Linked DNA regions of Arabidopsis thaliana. The protein of the gene in region 2 interacts with the protein of the main gene of each other region in a pairwise test. Each region holds a gene or a part of one and is shown on either strand. Other genes may lie near its edges.

Evidence for each region.
Region 1: the proteins of AT1G24440 (region 2) and ARF3 interact in a protein complementation assay, tested with the Arabidopsis thaliana proteins (one large-scale study listed by BioGRID).

The regions. Positions count from the first base shown.
Region 1 is NC_003071.7:10,556,513-10,568,842, forward strand, and holds ARF3 (ADP-ribosylation factor 3), read left to right. Parts: upstream 1-6,175; 5' UTR 6,176-6,309; coding exon 6,310-6,412; intron 6,413-6,530; coding exon 6,531-6,569; intron 6,570-6,662; coding exon 6,663-6,725; intron 6,726-7,301; coding exon 7,302-7,320; intron 7,321-7,458; coding exon 7,459-7,570; intron 7,571-7,945; coding exon 7,946-7,993; intron 7,994-8,169; coding exon 8,170-8,300; intron 8,301-8,415; coding exon 8,416-8,449; 3' UTR 8,450-8,784; downstream 8,785-12,330. Other genes in the region: GDU4 (glutamine dumper 4), read left to right, coding at 2,967-3,437; AT2G24780 (uncharacterized protein), read right to left, coding at 9,169-9,327; COL3 (CONSTANS-like 3), read left to right, coding at 10,447-11,025, 11,129-11,434. UniProt on the Arabidopsis thaliana protein: GTP-binding protein involved in protein trafficking; may modulate vesicle budding and uncoating within the Golgi apparatus.
Region 2 is NC_003070.9:8,656,366-8,668,235, reverse strand, and holds AT1G24440 (RING/U-box superfamily protein), read right to left. Parts: upstream 6,399-11,870; 5' UTR 5,897-6,398; coding exon 5,817-5,896; exon of another isoform or gene 5,554-5,816; intron 5,340-5,553; coding exon 5,183-5,339; intron 5,058-5,182; coding exon 4,991-5,057; intron 4,911-4,990; coding exon 4,459-4,910; 3' UTR 4,229-4,458; downstream 1-4,228. Other genes in the region: TNO1 (TGN-related, localized SYP41 interacting protein), read right to left, coding at 1-1,737, 1,841-1,972, 2,063-2,164; NFD2 (Ribonuclease III family protein), read right to left, coding at 3,159-3,567, 3,772-3,860, 3,958-4,035; AT1G24430 (HXXXD-type acyl-transferase family protein), read left to right, coding at 8,739-10,046; AT1G24420 (HXXXD-type acyl-transferase family protein), read right to left, coding at 10,239-11,549.

The DNA.
Region 1 (12,330 bases), on a different chromosome or scaffold from region 2:
TGTTCTTCAAAAGATTATGCATAAACAGTCGAAGCATACAAACAACACAAGATATTTATTAATGTTATCCATATCATATGATGCGAAAACGAAATCACCGAATACCAGAGGAGAAAGATAAGCATTTAGATCACATCAATGCACCAATCGAGAAAATGGAAAATGAAGACAAGATGCACAAAGAGGTTTGTTGGGACTTTACCCCACAATGCTCATTCCCTCTCGTCCTTTCCCAATCATTTCTGTCTCTCTTATAATTGTGCAAACATTGTCATTTACCACCAAAGCAAATGTGCTCTTTCACTGTGCCTTATGTCGCACTAATATCTTTGTGGGCCTCTATAATCATCACAGATTTTGCGGGAAAAGGTAAAAATTCTTAAAAATATATATTGTATAAAATTAAACTGCTCTTCATCTTTTGTCAACATATATATTAAACTACTTCGAACACTGATATGCATTTTAAAGCATTTTTTAGAAAGACTTGAGTTAAACTAGTTTATTTACTGAGTTAATGTTTTTGGATAAATGATTCGTTCAAAAGTGAATATTTGGAACTGATCGATCAAAAGTTTTGTTGACTAGAGATAGACTGAGAGTAAACTACGCTATAGATATTCTGTATGCATTTTTTACAAAGACTTAAGATAAACTTGTTTATTACTGAGTTAATGTTTTCGATAAATAATTTCTTTAAAAGTAAATTTTTGTAGTTGGATCAAAAGTTTTCTTGACTAAAAAATGGACCGAGAGAAAACTACGCTATAAATTTGAAGGTTTGAACTCTTTATGTTTTTGACAAAAATAAGAACCCTTTATGTTCGGTAACTTCGATTAGTTAACTGGACTTCATTTAACTAGTTTAATTTCATTAGTCGATATAATTTTTCTGCCATTTTAATGGTATAAACGCCTATGTTTCAAGGGTAACAGAAAATAAGTATTAAGTTTTTCTCTTCTTTAGTTCGCAATGTGAATACATAGATGATTCCAAAATATGCTTTCTTATATATTTGTAAGAATTTAGTTTGAAAAACAGACATGGTCCTTTAAAATGGAACCTGTGAAAAAATATAAACTTAATTCTTTTAACAAAAAGAAAAGAAAAAGTTTATAACATTTGGGGCACAAATTTGCACCTGATCACTACATTTTAATATGATGACAGCTTTATGGATTATTGAGGTAGTGCACCTGGTGCACGGTAGTTGGTGTGATAGTAACAATTGGAAAAAAAAAAAAAAAAAAATCCCACATATGACTTTTATTTGCACTTTTGAAATTTTTTTTCTTTATTTTTCTTTTAAAAATATATTTTTAATATGTAAAATTACTAAATTAACTTTCTTAAATTAATAACAATTAATCAAAAACATATATATTTTAATATCAAATCAATTTATTTGTAATAATTAAAATAATTCAAAATATATATTTAGGGTAATAAATTTTTGAATTTGTTAGTCTTTTATAACTAACAATTCCAAATCTTTATTGCCCTAAATATGTTTTTCTAAACAATAATGACTAACAATATTCTACCGATATTAAGTCATGATTTTTTTTAAGCCATGTGTTATGGTGCAGATTTTAATATTCATTATTATTGTAAAACATTAAATAATTTACTTTGCAAAAAAAAAAGGAGAATTATTGAATTCAAGCAAAGTTTGGTGATATGTTAAGTTGAAAATTGTGTTTGGACTACTCGAGATTATTTTATTTTATATAAGTCCGATTGGTAACACAAAACTGTACAAAATTTTAGCTGTTAGCTATAACCAAAACTTTTTTTGGAATAGTGCAAAGTTGTACAAAAGAATTATACGAGAAAGCTGTACAGTAAAGTTAAGAGTAAAACTTTTTGTAATGTTTTTGATAAAGTTAATTTTTGCGAATGATAACTCTCAAAATAGTACAAGTTATATCGCTTTGAGAATGTGTTACCATTTAAAACCTATAACATGACAAATATTAAGTGATAGACTTTATAATACTTTTAGATATAGAAAAATTGAGAGATAGAAAATTTCTTCATCCAAAAAGAAAGAGAGAAGTTGGATTCCCAATTTGCGGGATCCCAAAAAAATAAAATCCCCATTAGGCATCATAGTGTGTCCTCACAAGAAGATAGATATCGTGCCATAAATTAGAACTGAGAGTAAGGGGTCTTGGAATCCATCTCTCACTCTCATTCCTCTGTCACTTCCAGAAACCAAACTATTCATCTATCTAAATTGATCTATTTGGCTTAAAGTATCTTAGAGTCATCAAGAGGAAACCCCTTGTCTTTCCAAAAACTTTCTCGATATCATGCTATCACTGACATATTATTGGATATAAGACTTATAAGTCTAATACCCAATTATTGTAGTTTGTGTAGTTGATTGATGTCAAAGTTCATATGGTTTCAAATTTATTGGTAAATATTATGATTGATATCCTTTTTTTGATTTTAAAAATCACCATTTATATATTTTTCAACAACCGTTAAGCAAAAATTTTAAACCAATCTGCGGTAGTTCTTGTAGGCATTTTTCAAGTTTTTTTTAGTGTAGTTTCTTAAAGATACTAAAATTTAATTTATCGTGTCTAGTTTAAATTTGTGTAATTAATGTTCGCTATCTTTCTTTAAAAAAACAAGCACCTTAACATATATATGTGTCTATAACAAAGTAAGTTTGAGTACATAATATTGCATGCAAATATATGCGGCAAAACTAAAAAGTAATAAACGGCAAATGAAAAAAAAAGCTGCTTTAATTCAAATAATTAAATATTCGGAGTGACTCACTTTCTTTTTCCCCAGGGACTTCTTACCTATAAATATAACACCTCACCACACCCATTGTTTCATTCATCTTTCCAGCTTTCTTCACTTTTTCCTTTATATAAAGTTAGAAAAACAAAAAAAACAAAATAGTTAGAAAAAATCTGAGAGAAACAGAAGAAACATAAAAAAAATGAGGCCATTGAGCATTAAACCAACATCGTTAGATGTAGCTAGACATGCCACATCAGTAGAATCATTTGGGAATCACCGACCGCCGATATCGCCGTGGCACTCACCGGTGCCGTACCTATTCGGTGGTCTTGCGGCGATGTTAGGCCTCATAGCCTTCGCTTTACTTATCCTAGCCTGCTCTTACTGGCGCTTGTCAACCTCCGGTGATGACTCCGGCGAAAGAGTCGACGAGGAAAAAGAGAGTCGGTCTGGAGTGAAGGCGGCTAGCGCGGCGTGCGAGGAGAAGGTTCTTGTCATAATGGCCGGAGATGACTTGCCGAGGTTTCTGGCCACGCCGGCGGCGAACAAATGCATGTGCGGTCACGAGGGTAGAATGGTAATTTTCAAGGAGGATGGTATTGGTGCTGGAGAGGAGAAAATGGGAGACAGAGAGAAAGCCAAAGAAAATGAAGAAACAACGAGTCAGTGAGCTTTTTTGTTTTCTTTTCTTCTCTCAGTCTTGTCTTTTTTTTTTTGTTGGGGAATTTTCCTTCGTGTTTTCACGGGAAATGTAAAATTTACTGAGAGAAAATTTTGGGTTATGATTAATGAATGTTTGCTTGTAATTTCCTATCCCCAATGGTGGAAAACTCGTTTTTAGTTTTTGTAATTCTCAAAAGTGTGATAGGTAACCTTTCTCATACAGCTTTAATACCAATCAGTAATAGAGTAAACTAAAACGGAATAACATAATAGTACTTAAAATTCTTACAATTTTATGTCATCACTAAGATCTACAAAAAAATGAATCATAGTATCATAACACTATGTTTGCCCAAAAAAAAAAAAAAAAGTATCATAACACTATTGATCATAAATTCAAAGCTTGCAATGTTTCGATGGAAACGTGATTCATCCCGTACACAAACTGTAATTTTATATACATTTTCAGAAACTAATGTAATGCATTAACCCTTTTGTATTACGTATATATTCTCACATTTTATATTTTGTAAGGAGATTCGTTTAGTTACTTTAATTATGAATTGTTATAATTGTGTCTCCTCCATGTATTTGTGTTACTTTCATATTTTCCTTGCATTTATATATTTTATTTACCATAGGATAGTTCTGAATTTGCTATCAACTTGGATATTTTAAATTAATTGAGACTCCATCTAGTTCACCGTCAAATTTTAACTATACTTGTTTAACTATACTTGTTATATAACGAGTGAATAAACTGGAAATAGTATTACTATTAACTATGAACTTACATTCGTAATATTCGAAAATATGTGCGTGAGTTAGTCTTGTCACAAGAAAAGGAATCATATTCTTTTTTTCATTAAACAAAAATTGGAAACACATATTATGGTATAAATCAAAAGATAATTCGATTACTTGCCCCATTTGCCTGCTTTACTTTCAATTTGATAATATCCCATCAACAAGAGTCTTGTTACATGACCAAATTTTCTTCTGTTCTCACGTTATTAAGTATTTTGAAGTGAAGTGCACTCCAAACAAACGTCTAAAACTTAAGGTTTGTATAATCCTCAATCAAAAACATTTTACAACTTATTTCTATTTTTTTATATTGGGGTCTTTTTCCCAGCTACTAATATACGATCACTTAAGTAATTTTTTGTAAAAATCATTAAAAATCCTAATAAACTCATTTGCGTAGTTCAATTACACACATACATATGTAGTAATATAAATATTATTTTCCGTTTTAAATTATCGTAAATGGAATGTCATTTAGAATTTTAATTTTATTCACCACAAATGTTTTTTTCTGTTTTAATATATTTGTTTGTTAAAATTTATATTTTCGTCGCTAATTAGTCCACTGAAATTATAATCCACAGGCTAGATAATCCACTGATTTCAACAAAGGTGAAAAAATTATATAACTAATATTTGTCCATTAGTAGTAGCTAATTAATTGAAAACGTTTGTTCTCTGAATCGAAAGAGCTGCATAAGAGAAAGGGGACACGTGTCAAAAACAGAGTTTAATATGAAAGCGAAGACAATGATTCTGTTTTGACTTATTTGTCATTTGCTGAGCTGTCTTTAGAGGCGCCGAGTAGCCGCGTCTCCCGCAAGAAAGTTCCAAAGCAATACTTCTTCTTTCATTGCATTCATTTCCCCAACTGTCTCAAACTTTGTGCCGCATAAGCAAAAGGTACAAATAAAATAATAATAAAAATAAAGGATGGCGAAAACAAAATTACTTGTATCAAACAAGAACATTTTGTTAATTTTTCCGAGTGAAAACATCACTTGATATGGATATGCGATTTTAGTTGTTGTAAGTTTCTCTAGCATAATTGATAATTCCTATTAACATCAATTTTGATATAGCATTAGGACTTCAATGTTTTTATTTTTAGGGTTTGTTCTTTTTGACTTCATTAGTCTAGTGGTACTTTAAGACCACTTTTTCACCTCACACATGGATGATCCAGACCTAGTCAAGCTAGGAGTGACTTTTATGTTTATATAATTTATACATGTTAAATTATTTTAGTTTTCTTTTTTAAAGGAGATGAATTTAATTCGGTGTGGATCCCGTCTCTAGAAAATATAGGGTCTTTGGGCTTGAACTTCCAAATATTCGAATAACAAAAAAAATTATTTTAGTTTTTAACCCAAAAAGAAAACATTTGCGATCAAATGTTATTGTAAACAACGCACACTAAAAAGACATTTACCCTTTTCGGTGAAGAGACACAGGGACAGCTACATGCGACCCAAAAAATGAGCTTACCCTCTATTTCACATATGTAAGAATATACTCTAATTAGACTCAGCATGTAGTATAAAGAAGGTGTTGACAAAAAAGCTCAAATAATTCGATAAACTAACAATGCACGGGTACTAATTAACAAGGAATTCTCATAAAATTGAAGGTAAATTTAAACAACAATAAGAGCATCCCAATTAGGTAAGAGATTTAGTTAAGTAATTGCGATCAAGGAAACAAGTACAACAGAAGTGGAAGTCTGTCTCTATATCACTTTCTTCCCTGATGCATAAACTTACCTCTTGTTCACAAACTTTGTTAACATTTTGATAATGCAATGAAATGAAATTAGAAATTCAAAACAAAAATAGAGAAAAGTACAACCAGTGGACTATAGTCCAATTAGTCAACCAAAGTAACAATGGGCCGAGCTGATAATATTTAGGCCCAAAAAAAGCCTCTGGACGAATCAGAGACACTGGAAATGAACGTTCTTCTTCGCACTAACTCTCAAAGAAGAAGAAAAGATCTGAGAGGTGGTCGAATGATCCAAGAGAAGAAGAACAATCTCTCTTAGATCGTTTGATCTGATCCAATCGAAGAAGAAGATGGGAATCTTATTCACGCGGATGTTCTCTTCCGTCTTTGGTAACAAAGAAGCTCGAATCCTCGTCCTCGGTCTCGACAATGCTGGAAAAACCACAATCCTCTGTAAATTCACTGCCTCAATCTTTCGCATTGTGTAATAGATTTGATATTTAGTAGCTAGGGTTTTTGATTCGATCGTTTTTTGAGTTGCGTTGATGTTTTTGATTCTCTGTGATTCCAGATCGGCTTCAGATGGGGGAAGTTGTCTCTACGATTCCGAGTATGTATCTAATCTCTCGATTATTGTATAGATTATGGATCTAGTTTATGTATCGTGATTTTACGAATTTTGGTTTTGATCTGATCTTTGCAGCTATTGGATTTAACGTTGAGACTGTGCAGTACAACAATATCAAGTTTCAGGTCTGGGATTTAGGTATGTTTTCGAAGAATGTGTTCGAACGCATTAAACTTTGAATTTGAAGTAGTAGAAATGATTTTTGGTATTATATGGAAGGGATATTCGAAATCTACAACACTATATAAGCATTAGATTAATCCAAATCAAACCATTTTCTGATGGATTCAGTTAGAGATTCTCTGCGTTCTTCTTTCTAAGTTGACTAGCTCCATGGTAGTAGATCTTCAGTGTCACTTTTGTATAATTGGAATGTTTGTCTTTTGTATGAATTAACGAATTCATGATCAGAATTTTCCTTGATTTGGAGTCCTTAGATAAGTTGTTGTCGTATGTGTCGTTATATTCGACTTTCTTGTTCCAAGTTATTACCTTTTCCAACTGGTCTTGATGAGATAGATGAAGTTCTTTGTATTCAAATTTGGGTGATAAAGAGTTCTGTATTATCACATCTTCTTCCTATAGTTTTTATTATTATTATTGTTTTGCACGTGTTGTATGTACATCTGTCTTGTTAGTTATATGCGAATGCTTTTGCATTTTACAAAATTGGTTCAGCGACACAGTACATTAACAAGAACTTTCCTATGACAGGTGGACAAACAAGCATCAGGTAGCTTAATGACCTCGTTTCTCATTTCTAGATATGATGAACATATTGCATCTACTGTGAAGGAATGAAGAACAGAAATGCTCCATCAAGATTATACTGTTTTTGTTTTGCCCAATTTTCTAATGGTATTTTTGACAGGCCATACTGGCGATGCTATTTCCCGAATACACAAGCAGTGATCTATGTTGTTGACTCGAGTGATACAGATAGAATCGGGGTGGCGAAAGAGGAGTTTCATGCAATTTTAGAGGTAAAGTACTGCTGAGGCTTCCTCTTCTTATACTGTTGTATTATTTTGTGATGGACTTCTTGCATCCAAAAGTAATTGAGGTAAAACGATGATGATGTATATCGGTAGTTGAATGGAAATACAATATTGGTTCAGTTTCTTGTTTAGGACTTGTTATAGATGCTTGTAAGTTGTATATCAAGTATTGTTAGCCTTCTAATAGGTGATACTGAAATTGAAGTATCTCGGTTAGTACTGGACGGAAAGAACAAGTGATCATTTCTCTCTGTAGATCTTGCTAGCTAATCTTAAACTCTCAGCAACAATGCTTACTTGAGTTTACCTCTGCCACTGTCAGCATTTAACTCGCACTATCTTTTCAACTATGTTTTATAGGAAGATGAATTGAAAGGTGCGGTGGTTCTGATATTTGCAAACAAGCAGGTTAGTAGTCTCTAAATGTTTGCTCTTCCGATTAGTTTGGGCTGATTCATCTGGAAATCTGTATTGGTTTCTGTTGCTAAAAAGCTTTAGTTTGTTTTGCATGCACAAGACACTTTTTTGCTGATGAAAAATCTATAACTATTTGGTCTGAGTTTCATTAAATCGACTTAATTTAGGATCTTCCCGGTGCACTCGATGATGCGGCTGTTACAGAAGCCTTGGAGTTGCATAAGATAAAGAGTCGTCAATGGGCAATCTTCAAAACTTGTGCTGTGAAAGGCGAGGGACTTTTCGAGGGATTGGACTGGTAAGCACATTCTGAAACCGAACCATTTTCTTGGTCCCATTATTGAAACACTGAACCCATTTCTTTATGCATTTCTTCTCAAATATTCTTCTCTCATTTCCATCTTGATCTTCAGGTTGAGTAATACATTGAAGTCGGGAAGTGGCTAAAATCATCGTCATACACCAATCTGTCACATTTCTCAAGAGTGTAACTTTGATCATTTTTACTTATTGGTTTGTTTAGTATCTTTTTTTTATCTTAGTTCTTCATCTTAAAGAGTTAATATCAATGACATGTTCACTTAATATTCTCTTTTTGTTGTTTTGTTTCATTCTGAAAGAAAAAACCCAACACAGATTTTTGATTGAGACCCATAAGGGGTAATATCATCACTTTTTAACATGAAATATTGAACTGATTCCAGACGAAACACTGAATTGGTTCCAAGTGGTGTTTTTGCCGACTTGGATTCAGAAGCTCAAACGTTTGGGGTTTTAGAAGTCCTAATTTATGTAATTTGTCTGCTCCTTAATTAATGATAAAATTGTTGACACTATTATGCCATTTAGTAGATAGTAAGATTTTTTTTTAATGTTTTCAAAGAGGCAAAAATAATTTGCAAGGAATATATAGAACTAGCAAGATACTAGCCTAAGCTATTTGATTAACTTTCCTGCTAATAATGCTAGTATGCTACCAAAACAAAACACAAGCGATTTGTGAAGCTCTTTCTTAAAGAGTCCGGCTCGGCGTTTAGAGAATGTAACTTGACGGTGGCTCTCTTTCTTGATCTTACCATAGAATCTTTTATATGGCGGGTGTTGAGCAAATTAACTTAAACAAATTTGTTTTATTATCGTAACTCAATAAAAATTACGATTTCTAGTCATAAACAAAAGGCTGTACATAGCATTAGGCCTGCTACGGATCCGGATATCCGGGTTTTTTGGAGTATCTGGATCCGTATCCGTATCCGGCGGATATGTAGTTTTAGGATCCGCATCCGGATCCGTAAACCTCGGATATCCGGATTTCGAATATCCATGAAAAAACCGGATATCCGCGGATATTCGAGATCCGTTTATTTTTGGGAACAAATTCAATTTCCTATTTCACCAACCAGATTGAATTCACCACCAAAAGAGATCGACGTGTGCCCGACATCAGACTTTGCAAGGCACATACCACCAAGATCTCGTCTTTAACGGTGTCCAATCTGCTCCTCCTCATTCATCTCCGCCATCGACACTTTGAATCCCATGTATCATCATTCCCGTAAGTAAACTTCCGTCCATAAATTTACGACGGTGGAACCGAGATGAATATGGTGGGGAGACGGTGATGAAGATTACATGGAGATGAGATGGAGATAGTGAAGGAAATGGTGATGAAGGAAACATTCACGGCGGCAGAAAAAATATGTTATGAAACCCTAATAGTTAAGTCCCAAACAAACTCAAATTCCATCATTTTGTCGTAGTGGGCTAATATTGGACTATTGGGCTTAACATTGATAATGTGTATTTGATTAAGCCCAGGATACAAATATAACTTAAGCCCATAATACAAATATGTAGACATATTGAACGGATGCGGATATTCGGCTCTGATTTTTTTCATAATCTGGATCCGTATCCGGATCCGCCGGACTCGTATCCAGATCCGCCGGACTCGTATCCAGATCCGCCGGACTCGTATCCGGATCCGTCGCACCTAATTATTCGGTTTTCCGGATCGGATCACGGATCCGGATTCGAATACCCGCGGATAACGGATTTTAGTCCCAGGCCTACATAGCATCTACGGTAATTATTAACTATTAAGTAACCATGGGTAAATTCGAATTTCCTTGCCGACAAAAAGAAGGAACTTTCCATTCCTTTTGTGAAAGTCCGTGAGAACATGAACCCAAGTTAATACACCTTCACATGATTAGCCCCACTTCTCCTAAATGTCTCGTAAACTCCAACTATTCGGCTAAGATTCACTAACGTGTCATCTCTCTATTCGCTATTCCCAGATCTCCATGACCCACTTCACTCCCTGCGCGTCCGGTACAATCGCCACTTCCATAACACCAAGAGTCAATACAAAAAAAAAGCCGACTCCATTATTATCCCTCTCTCTACAAAAAAAACAGTAGAGAGAGATATAGAGAGCATCAATGGCGTCGTCGTCAAGACTTTGCGATTCGTGCAAATCGACGGCAGCAACTCTATTCTGCCGCGCAGACGCCGCGTTTCTCTGCGGCGACTGCGACGGTAAGATCCACACAGCTAACAAACTCGCATCACGTCACGAACGAGTTTGGCTATGTGAAGTATGCGAACAAGCACCAGCACACGTCACGTGCAAAGCTGACGCCGCTGCGTTATGCGTCACGTGCGACCGTGATATCCACTCAGCTAATCCACTCTCTCGCCGCCACGAGCGCGTACCAATCACTCCTTTCTACGACGCTGTAGGTCCAGCAAAATCCGCTTCCTCCTCCGTCAATTTCGTAGATGAAGATGGCGGTGACGTCACTGCTTCGTGGCTTTTAGCTAAAGAAGGAATCGAAATCACTAATTTGTTCTCCGATCTTGATTATCCGAAGATTGAGGTAACGTCGGAGGAGAATAGCTCCGGTAACGACGGAGTTGTTCCTGTGCAGAATAAGTTGTTTCTTAACGAAGATTACTTCAATTTCGATCTCTCTGCTTCCAAAATTTCTCAACAAGGATTCAATTTCATCAACCAAACTGTACGAATCTCTCTCTATCTTCTTAAGCTTCCATGGATCTGGAAAATTTTCAGATCTAGATCTGAAAGTTTGGATCTGATTTGAGTTTGTGAAATGTTGTTAGGTTTCGACGAGAACGATAGATGTACCGTTGGTGCCTGAAAGTGGAGGAGTGACGGCGGAGATGACGAACACGGAGACGCCAGCTGTGCAGTTATCACCGGCGGAGAGGGAAGCAAGGGTTTTGAGGTATAGAGAGAAGAGGAAGAATCGGAAATTTGAGAAGACGATTAGGTATGCGTCGCGTAAAGCTTACGCTGAGATGAGGCCGAGAATCAAAGGACGTTTTGCTAAGAGAACAGATTCGAGAGAGAATGATGGTGGAGACGTCGGAGTTTATGGCGGATTCGGTGTTGTTCCGAGTTTCTGATATTTTCCGGTGAAAGAAACATGGTAGTAGTATATCGGTTAATAGCAGATTAAGGATAATTAAAACTAAAATGTTTCCTGATTTAATCAGGGGCTAAGTTATTGTTAGAAGATTGTTGTTTTTTGAATTAATTCTCACAATTGTATCCTAAATTATATAGTTTACTTAATGTTGAACTAATAAATTTTGATTTACAATCTCTGTAAGAAATCGATATGCAAAAATAAATGAGTTGAGCTATTAAGATTAACATTCATATAGAACACAAACTCATACAATCAGCTGTGGTGGTGTCCGAGACTGCAAAATTCAAGAGGCGATGGAGGCCAACGTTGATGGTGAACGAGGCCAGATTCGAGAAGCAAAAACTTGTCACGCGGTTGAAGAGAAAGAGCATTTAAAGAAGAGGTGGTTGTGGGTTTCGATACCGTTAGAGCAAAGCACACAAGCTGCAGAGATATTCAGTCCCCAACTTATGAGCCTGTCTTTCTTAAGCAATCTACCTTTCAATGCAAGCTAAGTGATGAAAGAATACCTTGGCACTGCATTCTTGAACCAAACAACCTTATTCCAAGGAATCAAAGTAGAATGTGCTCGTAATTGCTCTCAAGTTTCCTTAGAAGAGAAAAATTGTGCAAAGAAACCAAACATTAAGATATTTAGTTATTAATGAAAATTCAAACATGAGAAAAAACTTAATCAAACGAAAGCAACACAAAAGAAGAAGAAATCTACATATTCTAAAATAACAAACCACTAATTCTCTTTTAGTAAATGGTATAACCTTGAAGGAGAACCCTTTCAAGTATTAGATAATCTAATCATTTTTCGTCGTCATTACTCATAAAGTGTCGAAATATCACTTCATATCAATTGGTTTGCGTAAAACTGACCAT
Region 2 (11,870 bases):
TTGAAAGGCTTCAAATATTTCTTCGTTGCCATAAGAACTATCACTAGAATCCCTGATTTGCTTTTCTATCTTGTCGAATGATCTATCAACAAGTAAATTGATATCTGAAGAAGTATGATCTTCGACTCCTTCTGTCATCAAGCCAGAGGTTTCCACAAGTCTCCTCACAATTTCCTCCCTCTCCAACGAACCTCGCTCTGCAGTTTCCTCCATTTTTTTCAAACTGAAACTTAAATCATCCAGTTCCTTTCTAATGTTACTTTTCTCCTCCATTTCTGCTGAAAGAGACATGCTTACACTTTCAATCCGGTTTTGCAAGGCATTAACTTCATCTTTTCCCTGGAGAAAAGATTCTCTAAGCCAAGCTAGGCGACTTTCTAAGCTGGATTGGGACATCTCCTCTGGTAAGTCAATGGAAACGATCAAATCTTTTAGTCTGTTGTATTCCTGGGAAACATTTGTGAGCTCTTTCCTCTCTTCTGCAAGTGACCTTACTTTTTCAACGATATCAAAAGAGTGACCTTCTTCAGGTGTATATATGTTTGACAGGATAGTTTCAATATTTTCAATGATAGAGTTCCTCACCGATAACATTTCCTGATATGATGCAACCATAGCATCGGATTTTGCTAACTCGCCTTTGTCGAGTTCAGATTGATCCAATGCTGTTGACATCTCTTGTAGTTTCGTCAAACACTCTTCAAGTTCTTTTGTTTTTTCAGCCAGAGACTGTTCCAACTCCTTCTTTGTTAGCTCATATGCTTCCAGGGATACGGACCTATCATTCAATTCAGCATAGCATTTCTCAAGTTCATCCGTCTTTTCGGTTAACGATTGTTCCAGCTGCCCCTTCATTACTTCAGAACTTTCAAGGGCAATCTCCTTCTCTTGTAATTCAGTCAACCTATTCGCAAGCTCTGTTGTTTTTTCAGACAATTGATGCTTCAGAGCATCCCGGTTCTGAACTAACGCCTTCCCCTTTGTTACGGCCATGCTGAGCTTTTCTTTTGTGTTAGTACACTTAGTCTTTTCTAGCTCAAGCTCTGCCTTCAATTTTTCAAATTCTGTTCTCATTGACTCACACATTTCTTTCTCTCTGTTCACTTGTTCAACAAAGTTCCTATTCTCATCTTCTAGATGACTAAGTCTTTCAAAAAAGGCTGCTTCCTTCTGTTTGAGCTCAAATAGCTCAGAACAAGCAGCACCAAGAGCTGAACCAAAATCCTCTTGGAAACTAAGATCCAACACATCACTAGCCAAACACTTCCTTAACTGATCAGCACCATAGTAAAACTCAGTATACTTTGCACCTAAAAACGAAACTCGGTTCTCCAGATGAGCAAGCTTTTCAGAGATAGAAGAACCATACTGCAACTCCCCTTCCCCAAATACATTACTAAGAGAAACCATAATCCTATCCGTTGCAGCCTCAAGGTGCTCCAAGTTCTGTGCCTGATCACCCATTTCGGAAACCGGCTGCGACGAAGAAAGCTCAGAGATTTTTGTGGTGAGATCAGCAATCTCATCGTCCCTCCCACTAATAACCCCGTGAAGCTCCTTGAGTGCAACCTCATGCTGAATCCGCTCTTCCTTGGCAGTTTTTAAGAACTTCGAGAAGCGACTGACAATATCCACAGTAGTGTTCCCATCTTCACCTGTCAAATCATTCTCACCAGTCAACAGCTTAAACTGCTCCTGAAGCCCTGCAAGTTCCTTCTCCCAATCCCCCTTCTCAATCTATATGCAGAAAACAAAAAAAGAAAAGATCTTTCAATAAATTTTCGAGGAAACTCAACAAAAAATTTAGACTTTAAAAAGAATCATAAAAAAAATAACAGACATTGAAATGAGTTCCAAGGTCATCATTATCATCGTCATCTGTGGTAAGAGCTTCCTTGCTAGGTGTATCAAAATTCAACTCTTCAGGAGCATCAACAAACATATCTTCCTTACTATCAACGAAAGCTGTTCCCTGCAAAATACCAATATATCCCCCCAATTTCAGCATACGAAACACAAACCACATAAACGATTCAGAGCCATGGTGAAATAGAAATCTCACCTGGTCAGGATCAAGCTCTTCTTCTTCTTGCCCATTAGACTCGTCATCATTCTCAATTCCATCAGCTATAGAATCCTGCGGAAGATCATCCTTCTCGTGCATTATCTAAATACGATCCCAACCCTTTTTTCCCCCAATAGATCTATCACGAATTCGGAAACCGAAGAAGGATTAAAGAGAGAGAGAGATTAGCCAATATCGGTAATCAAAGACGGGACCTCTAGAGAGAGTCGAGAAATGGAGCAAACAAAGGAAGTGTGTGAAACGGCTCAAGTCAGAGAGATCCGTGAGTAATAAATTAGCGAGGTAAGAAGAAGAAGAAGAAAGCGTTGCAGCACGACCGACGCGGTGCGTTTTGTTTTCTCCCAAAATCGTTTATTTTTTTTGGACATATGTTTTGGTTGTGTCGTGCCATTGAAGTGGGTGATGTGTTTCGTCCAATAAGAAACGTTTGCTTCTGTTCACGTGACTTTTATATGGTAATATGTGCAATTTAAGGATCACTTAATTTTAGTCAAACGTATATATTGCAAATGTAAGACAAAAATTAGAATATAATTACAGATTCTCTCATAAAATCTTCTTAACAAAATATCGCATTAAATACATATGTAATCCTATATTCACAAAATATATCAATTAAATTCAACATAATAACAAGTAAATGATGATGGGATCCCTATTTCCTATGACTTGCTTACTGCAACACATGTAACAGTTCGAATTACTAATGTGTCGCTATTGCATCATTTGCACATTCTGATTACATAACATCTTTCACAACTGTTGGATCCACAAGTCTGCATGCACATCTCTCACATTTTGGACCACTTTCACATTTTCTATGGAGATACCACCATAATTCTTTGCAATTGACTGATTTGTTGTCATTTTAACGTTTTCAGTCATTAAGTCACTGCAGGTACTGCAACAAAAATAGATAGTTTTGGAGTCAACACTATAGTATGATCACTTACACCCTCATAACAGCAGCTAATAGTTAACATCAACCATAAAATTCTAAGCATTGGAGAAGAGTCTCTTAGAACTTGGCATCCGAAAAAACATGACTTTAATGACTTAATAAAGCTCTAATTTACAACATAGAGACTAGTCTTCCAGCTCGAGCTCCATGTACCTTCCAGAAAACCTTGATGGCTTCATCAACCGTTCCAGCATCAATAGCTATAGCTCCAAAGATTGCCCTAAAGCCAGTACAAAGAATGGCCGAGTTCGATGCATCTGTCTTAGTAGAAACTCTGATTATCTTCCCCAAACCCAACCGGTCTCCGTCAAGAGCACATGAGGACTCCACATTTGAAACCTCTGATATCAAACGGCCCAGTGCTTTCGAGGAAATATCGATATCTTTAGCGAGAAACTGAAGAGAGACCGCGGTTTCAATGATATGGGTTCCAAAGATACTCAAGGCTTTGTTGTTCTCTTGAGAAAAAGAAGCATGAGTCATTGCACGGCGAAGAAGGTTGATGTTGTTAAACTTGTAGCTACACCAAACAAAAAAAAAGGAAAGGTCACAACTTTAAGAGTATAGAATTTAACCAAATCAGTGATTCAACTTAATCATCACATCAAGAGAGTATCTAATCTTATAGAAATGGCCTTAATTTCCCTAATTATGATCCTCCAATACACATTTAGGAACAAATTAGTAAAATCAACAGAGAAGAAGTGACTTTAAGTTACTGTACCCAATTTGAGTTTGCAGCTTTGCAAGATCCGTCGCGAACGGCGAGGAAAATGGTTCGATCCTGAGATTGATTTCACTTGTTGCACGTACCTACCAAAGACGCCACGAAGAAATAAGAAACGGATCGTGTTCGGATCACAAAATATAAAAAGTTTGGGTTTTTAGAGAAGAGATGAGATGGAGATACATGAGAAACGGAGGAGAAGGAGAAGAAGATCCCGACGACGAAGACAAGAAGAAGTAGAGTGAAACGAAGAGTCGCCATAGTTGAACCTTAGTGTTCTTCACTTGATTTCACCACTCTCTGTTCTGCGAGAGAGAGAGAGAAACTTGAGGATTTATAAATTGAAACAGTTAGCACAATTGCACAATCAATTGGTTTGGTTCGGTTCGATTCGGTTTGCATTGGTTTATCCGGATTGAACATCTCTAGGAATTGATTTTACTTATAACAGTTTTTAAATCTCATCTTCAAACATGCTTATGTTGGCAAGAAGACATGAAGATCATCTTTCTCATTTGATCTTTGATAATAAAAGGGGTACACATTAAGATTATGACAATCTTCATAAATCATAATCTAAAACGAAGGAACATTAATGGATCACCAGATTCTTATGTACACTTAATCAAAGGTCTGGGATCACTCTCTCCCTCTGTACACCCGTATTTATGTTTCGGGATAAAATCATATCAAGTACTCGTTGTAGACTAAGAAGGCCGCTTCTGGATAATCCTTAGGAAGGCTATTGATGTGGAGGTAGAACCGAAGAAGATCCTCTTTGGTGACCGTCTCTGGATCCACCACATCTTCATCGCAAGTTAGCACCCACAGATCCTCTGAGTTCACTCTCTTGATGCTGCCACGACAAAACGGGCATGACTCCGACTTTGTGTTCCAGTTACGGTAACATTTGATGCACATGGCATGACAACAGTTTGGCAACACCATTTTGGTGCAAGGCTCTAAGCAAATCCCGCATTCGTCTTCTCTTTCCAAGTCAATGCTATTCATGTATCTGCTACCTTCAATGTCATACTGCTTCTTGGTGATGGCTTTTGGATTCGGATACCACAAGCTTTCGTCCGGTAAGTCAGCAAAGTTGATATGAAGTCGCTCAAGTGATGGTAATATAACACCTGCATTTAGCCAGAGCCATAGTTATAAGATTAAGCCCACAGTAGAAGAAACACAATCACAATTAAGAGCTTAGTCTTACCGTAAAACTCCCTAATCGTAGCTTTCCTTCCGTACCTAGATCGATTCCACCGCCCATCAGCACGTACCTGTACAAGACAAAGAAGACACCTATAAAACAAACAAGCCAAGAGGAAAGGAGAGAAACTATCAGGGAATCTACCATTTCACACACACACACACACAACTCGATATCTATGTATGCGGTAACAACCTTGTATATGAGTATGTGGAAGAAATCAAAATATCTTGGAAGCAGACATGAGAAATCCATCCATTGTAGCAGGAATATGAAGAATGGAGCCAAATTGCTGCACACCAATTTCATCTGAAGTCGCACACCGCTCTTTCCCATTGGAATCTCAGCAGCCCTGAATCAAATTTGAGAGTAATCAGTCATTACACTAATCCTTCTAACATAACCCATCCCTTCAGACAACATATGCCTGAAGAACAAACCACACAGATACCAATTCTGAGACTAAGCAGTTACTATATCCTTCGAATCACATAAACCATTTCCACAGACAACATATGCATCAATACCACACCACAGATATACAAATTGTGAGACTATTCAGTTACCATCCTTCTAATCACATTTAACCCATTTCTTCAGACAACATATGCATCAAGACCACACCACGCATGCCACAAAATTTAGCAATTTTTTGACCATTTCTGCAAAGTTTCGATTTTTAATAATCTAAGTTCGTGATAACGACCGAAAATGTAAAATTGTGGGGCCCTAAACCCTAAATCATCGAAGCCAACTATAACAATCGATACTAAAGACCCTAAACCCAGTAAAAATCAAAGAACCCAGAAAGAATCAGAGGATGACTCACAGTCCATTGGCGTGCTCAATATCAGCCTCCAGAATCTTCAAAGAGTCTCTGTAAGAAGACTTGGTCAACTGATAATACATCCTCCTTAACTTAAATCCCTAATCTCGTCTCTCTTCTCTCGATGAAGAGATGATGATGATAACAAAAGGATCAAGACAAGAGAAGACGAACAGGAAGAGAAGAGAATCCAAAGTTTGTGTCTTGGAAACAGACAAATCCTTAGAACCCGATGAATCAAAAACAAACAACAGAGACGTCTGCTTTTCTCCACGTCTTATCTCTTCGGTTTCACAAAATTAAAGATTTTGGAAGAAGAAAAAAGAAGCGACTTTTCGCTATTGATGATATTTTTGCAGCCAGAGAAAGAGACTTCGTGAAAGCCAAGAAAAAAATTTATATATATTTTTTTTCAAAAATACAGAGAGAAGAATCTTATCTCTTTTTTTTTTTTTGTTCTTGCAAACTTTTTTAATTTTGGTGTTCTGTTTCAAAGATCATAATGATGAGAAATTGGATGATGATGATGAGTGTTGTTGTTATAATGTTTGTAGAGAGAAATAGCTTTTGTCCTTATCTATAAAACATTATATGCTTTCTGTTGGCAGGTCTCCGTTACCAAATTGGTTTCTTTAATCAACTTCTTTCATAAAGTATTTTTTTTGTTCAAGTCTTCAATATCTGTGACCTGTCAGAGCCAACATTATTTCCTTATTATATTATGCTAATTATGAACACAATTAGGGAATAGGGAAGAAGATTCTCTCTTCATTATCGATTCTATACTAAATTAGTAGTGCATATTTTATCCTTTTCATATTTCAGTATCATTTTAGACTAATGTACTTTTGTTTTGAAAATATCACTTTCATGATTGCAATGTTAATTTTACAAAAATCTAGTTTGTCCATAATCAAAATTAATAAAAATGTATAAAAAAATTAATAAAAAATAAATAAATAAAAAAATAAACTCAAAAGTATTGACATTTCATCTTGAAAATTTGAACAAATTAAATGCATAATCTATCAAATGTTGCAAATAAACGGTGTTAAATTTTAGACGGAAACTAAAACACAGTCGTTTCGTTGATTAATTAAACGATTGTATTTTTTTTTTTTTAATGTATAAAAAGAAAAAAACGTTTATTATTGACTACGATGATAATGTTAAATTCATGGTGTTATAAAGGTTGCTAAGATTGTTGATTCATGGTATTACACTGAGATTGTTGAGTTCGATTATATTTATAGATAAGTCCTTTTGTATTTAGAGTTTCTAACATCTATAGTATTAGTCTATTAGATAAGTCCTATTAACATGTCATGAGCTGCAGTAAAATACCTCATCCAAAGTCCACGGGCTATTTTCACGAGTCACAATAGTCAACGTAATAAGAATTGATTAAGAAGATTAATTAAATAGTAATTGTACTTTAAACATTTCAGAAGTTTGTACGTTTTCTATTGAGTATAGTGGATAAACCCTAATTAATTAATATCCTGGAATAATCAAATCCAGATGTAATGTTTTGAACGTGACGTTGATCGTGTTGAGAGCTGAGATACATAACTCAACAAAACCCTACGTTTTCGTTAAACTATTACTTTTGTTTTGAATCATTGCTGTTCGCGTGGACAACAAACTAAACTCGCTCTCCAGCAACAATATTTCTCAGCCTTCAAATTCCATAACGAATATTATAATTTTATTGGCAACTAGCTATATAGAAAATGATGAATTCAACACCATGGTGTGTCCTCCAACATAATTTATGACGTATGAAGCTAGCATGAAGAAATAACGTTTACTCTATTGCTACAATGATTTCTAACTATATATAGATTTAGAAATTGTAGATCGAGCCTTCTTTGTTTAATATTTAATCCAAAAGCATGTTTTTTCCCCCCGGAGGATTTTTTCTTTTGTGAAAAATGTTGAATAGTATAAATAAAAATAAAAATATTAATTGTCTTATGAATATGTTAATGCCACTAATTAAAAATTGGTTTCTAGGGAATATATACTATAGTATTATTCTGGTTAGTTGCTATTGGTCGTAATGATCATATTAATTCATAGTAGATGAACAGCCCATATTTATTAAGTTGAAGAATGGGAATTTGGAATAATTCGTACCCTAATTTTCAATTCAAAAATATCATTTATTGATTTAAAGTTCTACCTAATGGTTCCATTGACTATATCGACCACAAACATATATATACAAAATAAAATTTGTTATGAATGGCAATACAAAAGTATAATTTCGTATAATTAAAACGAGCCTATCGGAATATATAATTTAGCTAAAATGAATAGTCAAACGTTTTTGGTAAGGACTAGTCTAAAGGACTAAAGGAGATGTTGAGGACCATCGACCACCAACCCCAACTAGTTAATGATGATGATGATATATACTTTGAAAATGTTATCACTATATAATTGTTGACGAACCGAATCCCTGTTTTTAATTTTTGTTTGTTTGTACTTATTCCTAAACTCATTTTGTATAGAAGAGTTTCTTGCGGAAAAAGGCATCCTGTGAAGCTTGAGTTTCTTGAGGGAAAAGGTATCCTGTGAAGCTGCTTAACTCACTTGCGGCAAATTAACTTGTTCAAGTCTAAATAGAAGATATAGTTTTCCACCTAACGTTAGTATAAAACTGGGTTAAACCAAAACCCCATATCAAGTTTCATAATGTTGACAAAATAATCCAGCTGAAGTCTCCAAAACCAAATCTTTGTATAAAATTTGTAACTTTCTTGTTCACTTGGGTCTAATTCTGATCCGTGTCTAATCACCATGACACGTTATTAAAGAGGACTATACCTCCTTATAACTTTAGCTTATATAATCTTACTGACGAAGCATGAGTCTGCTCAGTTCTCATACATCATTATTATAAGTTATTTCAAAACAAGAATGGGGCTTGAGATCACGGTAACTTCTCAGGAACTCGTCAAGCCCTCTCCTCGAAACCTTAATCATCCTCCATGCCATCATCATCTCTCTTTCCTTGATCAGCTTGCTCCTCCCATTTTCATGCCTTTCCTTTTCTTTTACCATAACAAGACTAATCTATCAGACAAAGAACGAAGTGATCACATCAAGAGTTCTTTGTCTGAAATATTGAATCTCTATTACCCCTTGGCAGGACGCATCAAGAACTCGGGTGATGTTGTTGTGTGCAACGATGTGGGTGTGTCTTTCGTCGAAGCCAAAGCCGATTGCAACATGTCACAGATTCTAGAAAACCCAAATCCTAACGAACTTAACAAGCTTCATCCATTCGAATTCCATGAAGTGAGTGACGTGCCTCTCACGGTACAGCTCACTTTCTTTGAATGTGGCGGCTTAGCACTCGGAATAGGCCTTTCTCATAAACTCTGTGATGCACTGTCTGGTCTCATCTTCGTCAACAGTTGGGCAGCTTTTGCTCGTGGCCAGACTGATGAAATCATTACTCCTTCTTTTGATCTCGCCAAGATGTTTCCTCCGTGCGACATAGAAAACTTAAACATGGCTACAGGTATCACGAAGGAGAACATAGTAACCAGACGCTTCGTGTTCTTGAGATCTTCTGTTGAGTCTTTAAGAGAAAGATTCAGCGGAAACAAGAAGATCCGCGCGACACGTGTTGAGGTCTTATCGGTATTCATATGGAGCCGTTTCATGGCTTCAACAAACCATGATGATAAAACCGGAAAGATCTATACACTGATTCATCCAGTGAACTTGCGTAGACAAGCAGATCCAGATATACCAGACAACATGTTCGGGAACATCATGAGGTTCTCTGTTACTGTCCCTATGATGATAATCAATGAAAATGATGAAGAAAAGGCTTCTCTTGTGGATCAGATGAGAGAGGAGATTAGAAAGATAGACGCAGTTTACGTGAAGAAACTTCAAGAAGATAACAGAGGACACCTAGAGTTTCTAAACAAACAAGCTTCAGGTTTTGTCAATGGAGAGATTGTATCGTTTAGCTTCACGAGCCTCTGCAAATTTCCGGTGTATGAAGCAGATTTCGGATGGGGGAAACCTTTGTGGGTTGCCTCTGCAAGAATGAGCTACAAAAATCTTGTAGCTTTCATTGATACTAAGGAAGGTGATGGAATTGAAGCTTGGATCAACCTTGACCAGAACGATATGTCTAGATTCGAAGCCGATGAGGAGTTGCTTCGCTATGTCTCTTCAAACCCAAGTGTGATGGTCTCTGTATCTTGAGAAACAAGTAATCTATTAGTCGTTTCTAATGAGTTTGAGCTTGTTTTCCTTTTAAGTTTGTCTTTCAGATTTCATTCCCTTGTACTTAATGCATTCTTTTATACTATTTTGTTCATATTTAAGAAGCAACACAAGTTTAAATTAACTCATATAAATCTCTTGGAAGAAGTATGCAATGAGTTTTGTTCTTGTCTAGATTAAAACAGGGGGATTTAGGGAAGCTGATTCAAGAAGCTCTTGATCACATTCAAACAGTGACATTTGTTCTTCCGTAAGAGTGATCCAAGCTTCAATTCCTTCTCCATCTTTGGTATCAATCAATAACATCAAGTTCTTGAAATGGGAAGTGCCTCTTCCGGTCACCCAAACCGGCTTTCCCCATCCGAAATCAGCATCGTACAAGCCGAGCTTACACCAGCTATTACTCATCCACAAATCCATCTCATTTCCTCTTCCATATACTTTCCCAATCTCTTCCAAAAGCTCAAAAATTCTAGACGAAGATTTCGACATCTCCTTGCAGTTCAAGCTGAATATTTCCTTTGCCCTCCTTATCTCATCAACCACATCTTGAATTCTTTCAATCGCAGCTTCTTCGTTCTTGAGAATCATGAGGGAAAGCATATTCCCAATTGTGTTTTCACACAAAGAATCTACCTTTCCTCTTAGGTTCACTAGTATCTGCAGCACTGAAGTTCTTGGTGTTAGAGAACTCAATCTTGAAACCTTAGTAACGCATCTCCAAAACAGAGCTGTGACGGCTTCAACACGTGTTGGATTCTTCACAAGGTTTCTTGAAGCTTTGGCTCTAAGTTTCTTGATCTTCGAAGCATCAAACACAAACCTCTTTGTCACACAACTCATCTCTTCAACCTCTTCTTTGCGATCCATCGGTTTTGAAGGAAGCTCATCAAGTGGTTTAGGAAAGACTTCAGAAGCGGTGAAACTAGGAATCAAAGTAATCCCCAAACCTCTTGAGGACTCAGCCCATCCTCTGATGAACATTGCTAAAGAGGTAGCATCAGTGATCTTATGAGAAACGCAGATTGTGATAACCAATCCTCCACAGCTGAAGAAATTAGCTTGGATTAACAACACAGGCCATGTAACAGCTTCTCTTGACTTAGCTTCAACAGGAATGAGTAATTCCAATGATTCAGGAACAGGGCACTTGAGAAACTCCGAGAGAAGATGGTCAACTCGAGCTTCTATAAACACAGCTCCTTCATCATTACATTCGACGAAACTTCCTATGATTCTTCCGGCAAGAGGGTAGAAGATTGGTAAGGTTTTAGACAGAGATTTCTTGAGCTTCAAGGAAGTCTCCTCTGTTGAAAAACCTAGAAGGTTCTGAGGATCAGCTGCGTAAAAGAGAAGAGCTCCTGTGTACATTGGTGAGCTGAGGATATCAAGAAGAGAGAGATTGAGAATTCTCTTATCATCTGGAGTTGGAGAAGACGGTTTGACTATTTCTCTTGATAAGATCTCAACGTTCTTCTCCATTTTTACGAACAAAGTCTTTCTCCACTTTCTGATAAACCATGACACGCTTGTAAAATAACTTCAATGAAGATTCTTGGTGAGAATAGCTACATATTCCTGCATCACAAAAGACCAGTCATATTATTTATCATTAATTCATGTCATCATCATCATTATCCTTATTATTATTAATAGATTACATTCATATTAAAGATTCCTACTAGTGGGGAGACCAACAACAGTTCAAGATTCTTACTCGTCAGGAGACAAAACGTTATTATTTCATCTTAAAAATCTTGTCTTAAATATCGAAACAGAGAATAGTAATTATAATGAATTGCA